3 linked regions of the Callithrix jacchus genome follow. The protein of the gene in region 3 interacts with the protein of the main gene of each other region in a biochemical or structural test. Links are inferred from orthologs where the notes say so. Each region holds a gene or a part of one and is shown on either strand. Other genes may lie near its edges.

Region 1 (3,252 bases), on a different chromosome or scaffold from region 3:
TAAACTCACTTCAAGCTGATCTGTTTTAATGAATTTTCAATGTAATTGTCTATTATTTTTTCCCTCCCATCTGCAACAGAATACATTTTTTCAGCCTTTATCTAGATGAGATAAAGGAAATCATTCTTGTGGTGCTCTTGGAGTTTCAGGCCTGTGCATATGTATGCAGCAGGAGGTAATATGCTATGTCTGCTGTAATGAATTTGTACAGTAGATGCTATGGATCATTCTGAGCTCAGGGTCCAGACTTCATTCTTATTCCCAGAAATTTGTGTTACCTTTTTACCTCCTAACATATGACACTTCATCTTATATTAAGGAAGGTTTAGAATATCTAATACTACTTGAATTCATTTCTTACTAAGCCTTCTTAGGCGAGCTGTATACTAGTTACTAGTCTCCACTGCCATGCTTTTTCAAGGTTCCCCATGGTCCACAATGATGTTTGATTCTCAATTTTTCTGTCGCCTTTATAATTTGTTTTAATGGTTTTGCTACATTTGGAATTCAATAAAAAATGTGAACAATAATATCTTTAATATAACTTTTTTGTGTGTGCATAGAAACCGTATAAGTAAAAAAAAAAAAAAATGAGATTACATAGGTGATTATAATACAAAAAGTGGGAAAAAACCTGATATATGGTAAAGCTTAAAAGGGACCTATTTCTTCAGAAGAGTAGCTGACCCACCTCAGGGCCATGACTGCTCTTCTCTTTCCCCACAGCCTTAGTACTTTTTGCCAAAAGGCCCGGATTTGAGTAAAGGGGAGCGCCGTGAGCGTAGGATCCGGGCATAAGGGCTGCAGTCTGTTGAGCTTTGGCAGGTTGGTGTCCGGGGAAGTAAATTTCGAAGAAATGGTTTCTTCCCTGGGGGCGGTTGGTTTGGTTGCTGGTTTTCCTGGTTGTTACCAAGGCGCTTTTTGGCAGAAACCTGGCCTTGGAGTTTTAGCACCGTATGATACTGCTCAGCAATACATGCTGCCTTCTTCCGAAGGTCCAGTTTGACTAGCACCATGTTGTTCTGCAGTTCAGCCAGAGTCTGGTCCTAAGGAAGATCAATAAAGTTATAAAAAACACTTTTGTCTGGTAGATTAGAGAAACAACAGGGCTAATACATAACCACCCATTACTAACAGTTATTAATGACTGTTTCTTTAAAGATTAAAACTCTTTAAGGTCAGAGCTTATAACTAGATAAGGGGGCATTTTCTGAGACCAAAATATAAGCAGTGCTGAATAGGACATCTTCTAACCCATAAGGTGGTATGAGCTTGAGTAAATTTAATTTCTAAGCACCGTAGTCTCTAGATATCAAATTAAATGTTGAGCTTAGTTTAAGATAGACAGTTTTAATATCTCTGGAACCAGGATGCATCTTACTGATGAGAAATGTCATAGCTAAATTGTTAGTTTTTTTTCTTAGTAGTACATAAAACAATGGTTTTTTAGATGAAATATAACAGTAACTCCTCCCTAAGGTGGTTGTGACAGAAAATGCCTATAAATTACTTAGCATAGTTCCTGGTCCTTAGTAAATGCTTAACAAAAAAATAGTTATTTTTATTTTGCAAATATACTGCTGTCACTCTAAGTTCAGCCTAAAAATCTTTACCTTTTTCTTCTGGTCCCCTTTCCTTTCTCACATATACACTGGAGTGGGCTAGGAGGAGAGAAGTGGGTAGTTTGCCCTAACCTGTTTTATTAAGATGTCATCACAAGTGGTCAAGGCTTGACGAAGTTTTCCTGCCCCAGTGCTGTGGCAACAAGCTCTCTCTGCTGATTGGAGAGACTCACCAAGTTTCTGAAGCTCTGTCCGCAGCAGCCTTATATTCTGAAAAAGGGGAAGTAGGAATCAGATTGTGGGCAAGAGCAACCACTATAATAATCTGGAGGGGTCAGGTAGCCATTTGAAGAGAAGTAAAATTAGAAAGGGTAGTGAGCTGAGTGAAATAGCCACTCTCCAGCATCTTGTCTTCCCCTGAACCAGTGATAAGAGTGTTGGATGTGGGAAATTGCCTTAGGTAAGAGTATGGTAAACAGAGAAAGGTAATTACCTTCTGGCCCTCTTCTAACTTCTTGTCCACATCAATGGTGAAGGGCTTGGCTGAGGGTGGCGGTTCTAACATTTTCTGATACTTATGCAACTCTGAGGGAAGGAAACGGGAAACTTTATAAAATATGTGGGGTTTTTTTTTAGCCTTGGCCCAATCTCTTCAACTGAGTTAAGAGTAGCTTGTAGCAAATATCAAAAGTGAGGCTATGTGCGTCCTAGACTAAAATGTCAGGGGGGCTGTAGCTTGCAGTTTAGGAAATTATGTTAGAGCAAGAGTCAGAAGGCCTGGGTTTGAGTAACAGCTCGTCCCTGAACCACTGTTATGTTTCCTGCCTGTCTCTTTCCTCACCTTCAGTGGTGGAGTTTAGCTCTGCCTTGCACTGCTGTAATTTAGCTTTAACCTCCTGAAGCTGCTGTGTGGAGGCAGAAGCTGCCAACCTTTGTGACCGCCGTAGGGACAATTCAGACCCTGATTGCTGTTGGGCCACCGACTGTTGTCTGGCTTCCTGCAAGAGAGCTTCTAGCTCTTCAATCTTTTCATCTCGCTCCTAAGAGGGAAGCAGAGAGCACAATTCTGTGCAGAGCCAGAAAAATATTGCCGAGGCAGATGACTGAACAGACAAACAAAGCACTTGTGACACTGATCCCTTGAAAACCTGTTGTTAGCACTTAATACAATTTCCTGGCCAACTAAACCCTTAATCAATTCACCAAACATAGATTGAACCCAAAGCACTAAGAGGAATAGAGAAAATATATTCCTGCCCTTACTGGAGTAGTTTACAAAATCTCTACTTCAGGCAAGCTAGTGATGGAAATCTGAGCAGTTAGTTGGAGCTGGCTCAGGGCAACTCACCTGAATCTCTTCTTGGTAAAAACTTGTCAGTGACTCCTTAAGGATATTTAGTTTTTCTTCATACATTTCCTCCAATAGTTCCTTTTGGGTGTCCAAATGTTCACTGTCAGAAACAGAGGAGAAAAGAGAAAGTGAGTGAAGATTCTGAGGAGTGAACTTGGGGAACAGATCTTGAGGCACAACTCCACCCAACTCCTTACTTCCTACCCTCTGTCCCAGGTGACAGAGCAAGAGGGATCACTCAGCTAGTACCTGCACCACTGTTCCCGCTGTTGCATCTGTTCTACCATCTCAGTGCAAATTTCATCTCGGAGCTGCATCTCCAGCTGCAACTTTTCCTGT
Region 2 (3,650 bases), on a different chromosome or scaffold from region 3:
TATTTAATTAGTTGGTTAACGACCTGCCTGGCTTTGTTTCGCACTCAGTTCCTCACAGCTGCCTTGCCCTTCATCCCTTACTTGCTCATTTATTTAGCACTTTTGTTTCTCTAAGTTTGGGATGAAAAACAAAACACTCCTTTTAATCTTGCTATACTTAGCAGGGTGCGGTGGCTCACGCCTGTAATCCCAACACTTTGGGAGGCTGAGGCGGGCAGATCACTTGAGGTCAGGAGTTCAAGACCAGCCTAGACAGTATGGCGAAATCCTGTCTCTACTGAAAATACAAAAAATTATCCAGGCATGGTGGCACATGCCTGTAATCCCTGATACTTGGGAGGCTGAGGCAGGAGAATCGCTTGAACTCTGGAGGTGGTGGTGGCAGTGAGCCGAGATGGCGCCACTGCACTCCAGCCTGGGCAAGAGCGAGACTGTCTCAAAACAATAATAATAATAAAAAAATAATAATCTTGCTATACCCCTAGAAACTGAGTCTTGAATCTGAACCTCCAGGTCCAAAGCTGGGTTCCAGTTACTGACCATCAGATCTTCTTCACTGTCTGCACCCAGATTTCTTTTTGTTTGCTCCAGCTGCCTGCAGGCTGTCTGTCTTTCTTGCTGTATCTCCCTAGCTGGTATAACCTGCCTTGTCAGCTTATTCTGCCAACCTCCATCTCCTGTTTCCGCAGTCACTCACTGCCAGGCTTCAGCCCAGGACCACCTGAACTGCCTTTCTCTATCTGCAGAAAGGCATCTGGGTCCTCTGTGTTGCTGCTTTAACCTCCTCACCTCTGCCTCTACCTAGCTGGGCATGGATATTTCAGCCACTCACTCATTTAAACATAATAATTATTATGACATTCTGATCTGGCACTGGGACATGGTTTTATTTCTCCACTGACAAAGAATCTGAACTGTCATCTTGATGATACTGGACACTCAATAAAATTAGGGAATGAATTAGCTAAGAAAGCTTTGACTAGCAAGCTTTCACCTGCACAATGAGATTACCTGCTTGTTGGCTTTCAGTACTGCCCTCAACGTGGCGATCTGCTCTCGTTTGGTGCTCAGCAGGGACTTGAGCTTGAGGATCTCTTCCATTAAGGCTTCTTTGTCTTTATCAATCATGGGGGCTAGCTCCCGAGCCGCTGCTCTTTGGCGAGACAGTTGCAAGGACCGGTCCACAGCTTTCTGCAGATGCTTGATTTGGTCCCGGATTATGGCATTAAGGTTGTAGATATTCATTGGCTCTTTGCGGATGTCACTTGTATCCAATACTGGAGATGACGGTGGGGCAGTAATAACAGGAGAGATTGTGGGGGTCTTAGTTGGGCTTGGTTCTTTGCTGGCCTCTGTGTTTTCCTTTGCAACTGGTTCAGATGAGGTCCTTGTTTCTACTGGGGATGACACACCCCGCCTGGCTAATCGTGGGGACAAAAGTCCTCTGGGATCATCAGGCCCTTTCAGGCTGCCACTGCGGGTGACTCTGCTCTGCCTATAGTAATCCAGCATGACCCTGTTGGGAGTTTCATTATTACACAGACACACGTGGTGGTAAAGCTGAGCTAACTCCTCACTGAACGTCACTAACTCATCCTGGGCCGTATTAAGGGTATTGTGATTTTCGTTGGCTATGCTGGTCATCTTTTGCAACTCCTTCTCCATGTGGGCCATCTTCTCACCACTCTCCTTGGTGGTCTTCTCAAGGTTTGTCACCTGCTCATCATACATCTGGATTTTACTCTCATACTTGGCCTTCTCGTCAGTGTAGTTTTCTACAGATTTATTATATTTCTCCTTTAAGGCCTTAATTTCTGCTTTCAGATCAATCACCTCAGTTACTGCCACCCTGTATTTGCATTCAAGGATCTCTAAGCCATTGATGTCCACCTCATAGTCATGGGCCTCCTCCCCTGAGTCCCGGCCCTTCTCCCCGTCCAGCTCGGCCTTGAGCTCCTTGCTGCTTTGCAGGCCCCTCATGGCATTGACATGCTCTGTGAGCCGGTGCACCCGCTCATGCTGCTCTGTCAGTGCCCCCTTGGTGTGTTCCAGCTGTGTCTGTGACTCCTGTAGGTTGGCCAAAAGAATGGCCTTTTCCCGCTCTACCTGCAATGGCAAAAGAGAGTCTCTGAATGACTTCAATGCAATGCCAATGATGAACTTAATCCAGTCACAATTGGGCATGTATACATTTAAAATCACGGCAGCAGAGCCAACGTTCCCATTATTTCAGATTAAACTGGAGTGTTTTTTATTTCAGCAGTCTGGTAAATCAATCTAAAAGTACATAATTTAAAAAAAATTATACTGCAAGTAGTCACCCAACAATCTCACTTGTGTTACCCATCAATCTCTCTTGTATCATACACATATACTCATGAAACTTCAATGTTATTAGAACAATCTTATTTTCATTTTTAACACCTTGCAGAAAACAACATGACTTTAAGAGATAAGCATAGTACTTGGTGTTATTTTTATTTTGATAGCCTTAGAGTACATCTGCTTTTCAAATCGTACGTGACTGTCTCAGGGTGCCTATGAATCAATCATCCTTTCCTTCCCAGAGCTCAACTCCAAATCAGGTTTAAAACCTAAGGCTTTAACTTACTAAATAATGCTGAGTACTTTAACCATCCCCTTAAAAATAAGCATTTAGTCCCTAAAATAAACATGCAGTACATTGATAGCTTTTGTCTTTTTTTAAGACAGGGTGTCACTCTGTCACCCACACTGGAATGGAACGTAGTGGCACAATCATGGCTTACTGTAGCCTCTGCCTCCCAGGCTCAAGTGATCCTTCCACCTCAGTGTCCTGAGTAGCTGGGACCACAGGTGCATGCCACATGTGGACCTGACTAATTTTGTGTGTGTATAGAGAAAGGGTCTTGCTATGTTATCCATGCTGGTCTTGAACTCCTAGGCTCATGCTATCCCCCTGCCTCAGCCTCCCAAAGCACTGGGATTACAGGCATGAGCCACTGTGCCCTGCTTTTAATACTTTTTAATATAAAAGGCAGAGAATACATACAGAATTTTAGGGCTAAAAGAACAATTTATAAATCAATTCAATTCCTTCAGTCCAAAATAGGAAGTTGAAATGTTAGTAATTAATTTAAATAATGTGATACATTTATATAGATGGTATTACTGTGTGATGAAAAACACTGAAGTGTCCAAAAACACTGTCTCATTAAACATAGGTATACATGAAATTGCAGTGTACATAAAATCACTACATCACTACATATATGAAATCACTACATATATAAAATTTCAGTGTCAATTTTTTTTTTTTTTTTAAACAGAGTCTTGCTCTGTCACCAGGCTGGAGTGCAGTGGCATGATCTCGGCTCACTTCAACCTCCATCTTCTGGGTTCAAGCGATTCCCCTGCCTCAGCCTACTGCGTAGCTAGGACTACAGGCGTGCGCCACCACAACTGGCTGATTTTTTGTATTTTAGTAGAGACAGGGTTTCACCATGGCCAGGATGGTCTCGATCTCCTAACCTGGTGATTTGCCCACCTTGGCCTCCAAAAGTGCTGGGATTACAAGCGTGAGCCACCACGCCTAGCCCATGTCTTTAGATCTAAAGGAAGGTATCAATTCAAACTTTCAAACTTCCTGGATCGTACATTAAATCCCTCTG
Region 3 (4,437 bases):
ACAGACCTCTACTAACACATAAGAAAACTATAGACACTGACACCATGAAAACAGAGATCAATCTTTCATTGTCAAAGCTACTGAATGGCATTACTTGGCAATATAGTAACCTCAAAAGATAATTAACTTCATATCATGAATTGAATGCTGAAACAGAAAAAGTACATTGGGTTAAAACTAAAAATCTGAATAAACTATGAACTTAAGTTAATAATAACATACCAATATTAATTCATTAATTGTAACAAATGTGCCATACTAATGCAAGATGTTAATAAGAGGGGAAACTAGATGTGTGGGTATATGGGAACTCTGCGCAATCTTTTCAATTTTTCTGTAAGTCTAAAACTGTTCAAAAAAATAAAGTCTATTACAAAAAAATCTAACCAAGCTTTAGTAATGGAGGGGGAAGAGTAGTAGAGGCTTAAACAAGGTAAGAAATCAGAAGCCATAAAACTCTTCATTATGAATTAGAACATATACAAATAAGAAATTCAAAGGAAACCTGAAGATAGGAAATTAAGCTCTCCATTCATGCTAAAATCTTTTTAGACAGGGAGATTAATGGGTTTTTCATGCAAACTAAACAGCTGCGCATCACAACATTAAGGAAGACAATAATATCCCTAGAATGCACAATAAGCACTTTGGATCCTTTTTATCAATAATGACCAAAAAACTCTATCTTTGAGAAGTATCCTGAAGTTGACATATAATAGCTGGACCAGAATCAACTCCATAGGTTCTACCAAGTTACTCACCTAAAGACACAAGTTTATACTTACTCCAGGAAAATATATAAGCAAAACGGAGGGAGATTGGATTTTTTTCCCAAAAGGGAGGAGGGGAGGATAATCTACATATAAAAGAAGAAAAATTATTTCCTAGTTCTAACTGGAGGCAATTTTTCGAGAGTATTAACCTGTCATGGCATACGAATTAGAATAAGTAGTTCAAAGTAGTAATAAAATCTATGAATTTATATCACTTACATGCTTTCCAGTCGAAACAAATAACTAATGTTTTCTATAACCTCACCTAAACACATAGTAGGAATTCAATGTTTGATGACTCAGAACTAATCTCTCAATGTCTGAATTTTAAAGATGATCATGAAAAGTGTGAGAAAAACAAAGAAGGGTAATCATCTCTAAATTGTCGAGTGTCAAGTTTGCATACTACAGCAGAAAACTGGAATTACTACACGAAGTAATCGTAGAAATAACAATCACAAAATTAGAATCCTGTATCTAATACAAAAGTACAGTGATAACATAACCTGACCAGGTAAATGACATAACAATTTCACTCATCAGACAGTACGAAATATTAAGCATAAAAGAATCATTTAGCCCAAATCGTATGTAAATCGAATTCAGATAACTAGATGATGAGTCTATTCCTACTGTACTCCATTTTCCAAAGGAAATCCGAGAAAACAAAGATGTTTGTTATTCCAAGTCTTCTCTCTCATGAATCCTCAATATATTTATCATTGGAAAATACTCAAGAAGAAATGAATAATTAACATTTCCCCAGTAATTCCCATTTGTACCACCATGAGACTCAAACGCTGCTTCACGTTGAAACGAGAAAAAGGGGAGGTGAGATGAGAAAAATTCCAAGTAAAATGATCATGACATAGCATCTGGCAGAGACTGAAAAATCAACACTGCCAAAAGAATTGTCAGTGATGAAAGTCAAGAAAACAAAATGAGGTTTTCCGACAAGCCACAGCCCAATGTAACCTAAGGGGCAAAAATCTCTTCTGCCGACACTACCCCTTTCACCCCCAACTACCCCATGCTCAAGTCGCCTCCAATTCAGATGTTTTCCTCCAGACTAATTTCCCACTAAGGTGAAAACCATGTAATATTTTTTTTCTACGACCACCCCCCTTCCCACCTTCCACGACATCAGTACTTCTCAGAGCCAAGCCTCTGGGGAAAACAACGCCCAGATCCCACCCTCCTTGGCCAAGGTTGAAGAGGGCCCGCTCTCAGGAGTGGAGCTTCCCTGAATGGGCCTCACAGAGCCGAGGAACTGGGAAAAGGGCAAAGAATAAGGGTGGGGCTCAAGAAAGAAGGCCGGGGTAGGGGAGACGGCGGAGACCGGAGGAAGAAAGGGATGGACAAGAGGCTGGGCGGGGTGAGGGCTGCGGAGGGAGGGCAGATCGACCGGAGATGGCCGGCCTGCGGAGAACGGAGACGATCGAAGAGCCCGGGGAAGAGGGTAAAAACTCGACCGACGGATCCAGGCGGAGGGCTGATGGCACCGGCGGGCACTTCGGGAAGGGCTGCGGTGGCAACGAGCGCGGACGCGAGGCGAGCAGGAAGCCTCCGCGGACGGAAGGGCCGCACCGGGGGCGGTGCGGGGACGCTGCGGCCAGCTGCCAGGAGTGGGGGAGCCACGCACTCACCGCTTTGCTCCCCCAGGAACACCAGCTTGAATTTCCTCAGTGGATTCCCGAAGTCTCCTCCTGCGGACATGGTGGAACCAGAGGAGCTGCCGCCGCCTCAGCCCAGAGACCTCCCGGACCGACGATGCTCCAACCCGCTGACGAAAAAGGCGAGCGGAAGGGCGGGCGCCGAGATCTCTCGGCCCCTGCAGGGCCCGACGGAGGAGCAGGGCTGGAGGGCAGCAGGACTCTCCACAGACTGGCAGCCGCCGCCTCCCCGCAGAGTCGCCTAGCACTGAGCGAGGCCCGCGGCTGGGAAGGGAAGGAGGGCGGTGTCAGCAGGAGCCAGGGGTGTGCTCTGGCTTCCCAAGGCTAGGGCCGTTCCCTCCTTCAGCACCCGGCTCCGAGACCTGGGTGAGAGTGGCGGAAGGTGGCGGAGCCGGAACCGCAGACGTGTCTGGGACCTCTCACGCGCAGCACCTCAGCTTCCACAGCTGCCGCCGCCGCCGCAGCCCAACCTGCTGAGTGCGCGAGCCTCTGGCGCGGCGCGGGGCGAGCCCGGGCGCGAGCCTGCTGCCCCGCCGGCCGCTGGCGTGCGTGCGTGCGTGCGTGCGTGCGTGCGTGCGCGCGCGCCACCGCCACCGCCATCGCCATCGCCATCGCCTTCCTGGTTTCGACGCCTTCCTCCCGTGAGGCGGCGGCGGGGCAGGTTAGGTTTCCACTCGCATCAGAAGCCAGGAGGAGGCGGGGCAAACCAGGGATAAGTTAGCGGGTAGATGAAGCCCTTACGTCACTTACATATTAAGCCAATCGGAAGGGGCTGAGGGCGGGCCGACACGCGAGTGAGGTGCGGCATGAGAGCGCGCGCAGCCCTCGAGAAATGGAAAGCGGAGCACGGTGGCGGCCATACGAAGTGTGGCACTTCTCAGCCAGAGGAGAGGGAAAAAGAAGTGAGTGAAGGGGAGGGGAAGAGATGGGGCGGAAGCGAAAGAAAGGTGAGGCTGAGGCGGGGCCGGGACTAAGGTGGAATGATACCTCAAAAAGTGTGAGTGGGTCCTATAGCCATAAGATTTGTAATAGGAGCCTCTTTCCCGAACCCTCAGCCGGCCCCACAGTCCTCAGATCTGTCCTTCACCCCTGCACACACCCCACCTTCTCCACCTTATCATAATTCCTCACACGGCATCGTACTAAATAACATTCTTTTCCATTGCTTCCAGGAATTTTATAACTGTCAGAATCAGGGCCTCCCAATTTTGCAGATGAGGAAACCAAAGCCTAGAGGTAGAAAATGACTTGCAAAATCCATAAAGCTGCCTGGCGCGATGGCTCACGCCTGTAATCCCAGCATTTTGGGAGGCCGAGGCGATAGAATTGCTTGAGCCCAGGAATTCGAGACCAGGCTGGGGAACGAAGCAAAACACTATCTCTACAAAAAATAAAATAATTAGCCGAATGTCGTGGTGCACGCCTGTAGTTCCAGCTACTCAGGAAGCTGAGGCAGAAGGATTGCTTGAGTCCAGGATTTGGAGTCTGTAGTATGTGACCACTACACTGAAATCTGGGCTACAGAACAAGTCCCTGTCTTAAAAAAAAAAAAAAAAAAAAAAAAAAAAAAAAAAAATTGCCAAGTGAAGAAAAAAAAAGTCCTTACATTTGTATATAGTATCTTATATAATTCACAAAAACATTTATGTACATTTTCTCATTACTGGGTAGTTATTTGCTTAGCTGTAGAAATGACAGGATCAAAAAAGTGCCTTCTCAGACCCAAGGATGAATTGCTGACCTAGAATAAATCACGGGGAGGAACTGAAGTTCTTAAAATATCATCTGTTCTAGCCTATCAAGACAACAGCTCTATCCTCAAACACTCACTATCAAAATTTACTCCCTTCTGTTTCCTCTGCCAGACACGTGCAGGTAGAATATGCATCTAAAGAAAAATGGTAAAAACCTAACTTGTGGCATGGACATTTGATTTTACAAGCAGTTTGTCAGGTCTAATAGAGTCCTCTTCACCATTAATCCAGACCCTG

What was found. The genes of interacting proteins can lie anywhere in the genome.
Region 1: the proteins of RAB6A (region 3) and KIF20A form a complex in vitro, tested with the Homo sapiens proteins (2 studies listed by BioGRID). The link is inferred for Callithrix jacchus from reciprocal best matches to the Homo sapiens genes RAB6A and KIF20A.
Region 2: the proteins of RAB6A (region 3) and BICD1 form a complex in vitro, tested with the Homo sapiens proteins (3 studies listed by BioGRID). The link is inferred for Callithrix jacchus from reciprocal best matches to the Homo sapiens genes RAB6A and BICD1.

The regions. Positions count from the first base shown.
Region 1 is NC_133503.1:36,593,296-36,596,547, reverse strand, and holds the end of KIF20A (kinesin-like protein KIF20A), read right to left. Parts: coding exon 3,163-3,252; intron 3,014-3,162; coding exon 2,911-3,013; intron 2,603-2,910; coding exon 2,404-2,602; intron 2,148-2,403; coding exon 2,056-2,147; intron 1,833-2,055; coding exon 1,695-1,832; intron 1,047-1,694; coding exon 729-1,046; 3' UTR 519-728; downstream 1-518. UniProt on the Homo sapiens protein: Mitotic kinesin required for chromosome passenger complex (CPC)-mediated cytokinesis. Following phosphorylation by PLK1, involved in recruitment of PLK1 to the central spindle. Interacts with guanosine triphosphate (GTP)-bound forms of RAB6A and RAB6B.
Region 2 is NC_133510.1:39,163,212-39,166,861, forward strand, and holds part of BICD1 (protein bicaudal D homolog 1), read right to left. Parts: intron 2,107-3,650; coding exon 1,012-2,106; intron 1-1,011. UniProt on the Homo sapiens protein: Regulates coat complex coatomer protein I (COPI)-independent Golgi-endoplasmic reticulum transport by recruiting the dynein-dynactin motor complex.
Region 3 is NC_133511.1:67,212,118-67,216,554, reverse strand, and holds the start of RAB6A (ras-related protein Rab-6A), read right to left. Parts: upstream 2,938-4,437; 5' UTR 2,490-2,937; coding exon 2,420-2,489; intron 1-2,419. UniProt on the Homo sapiens protein: The small GTPases Rab are key regulators of intracellular membrane trafficking, from the formation of transport vesicles to their fusion with membranes.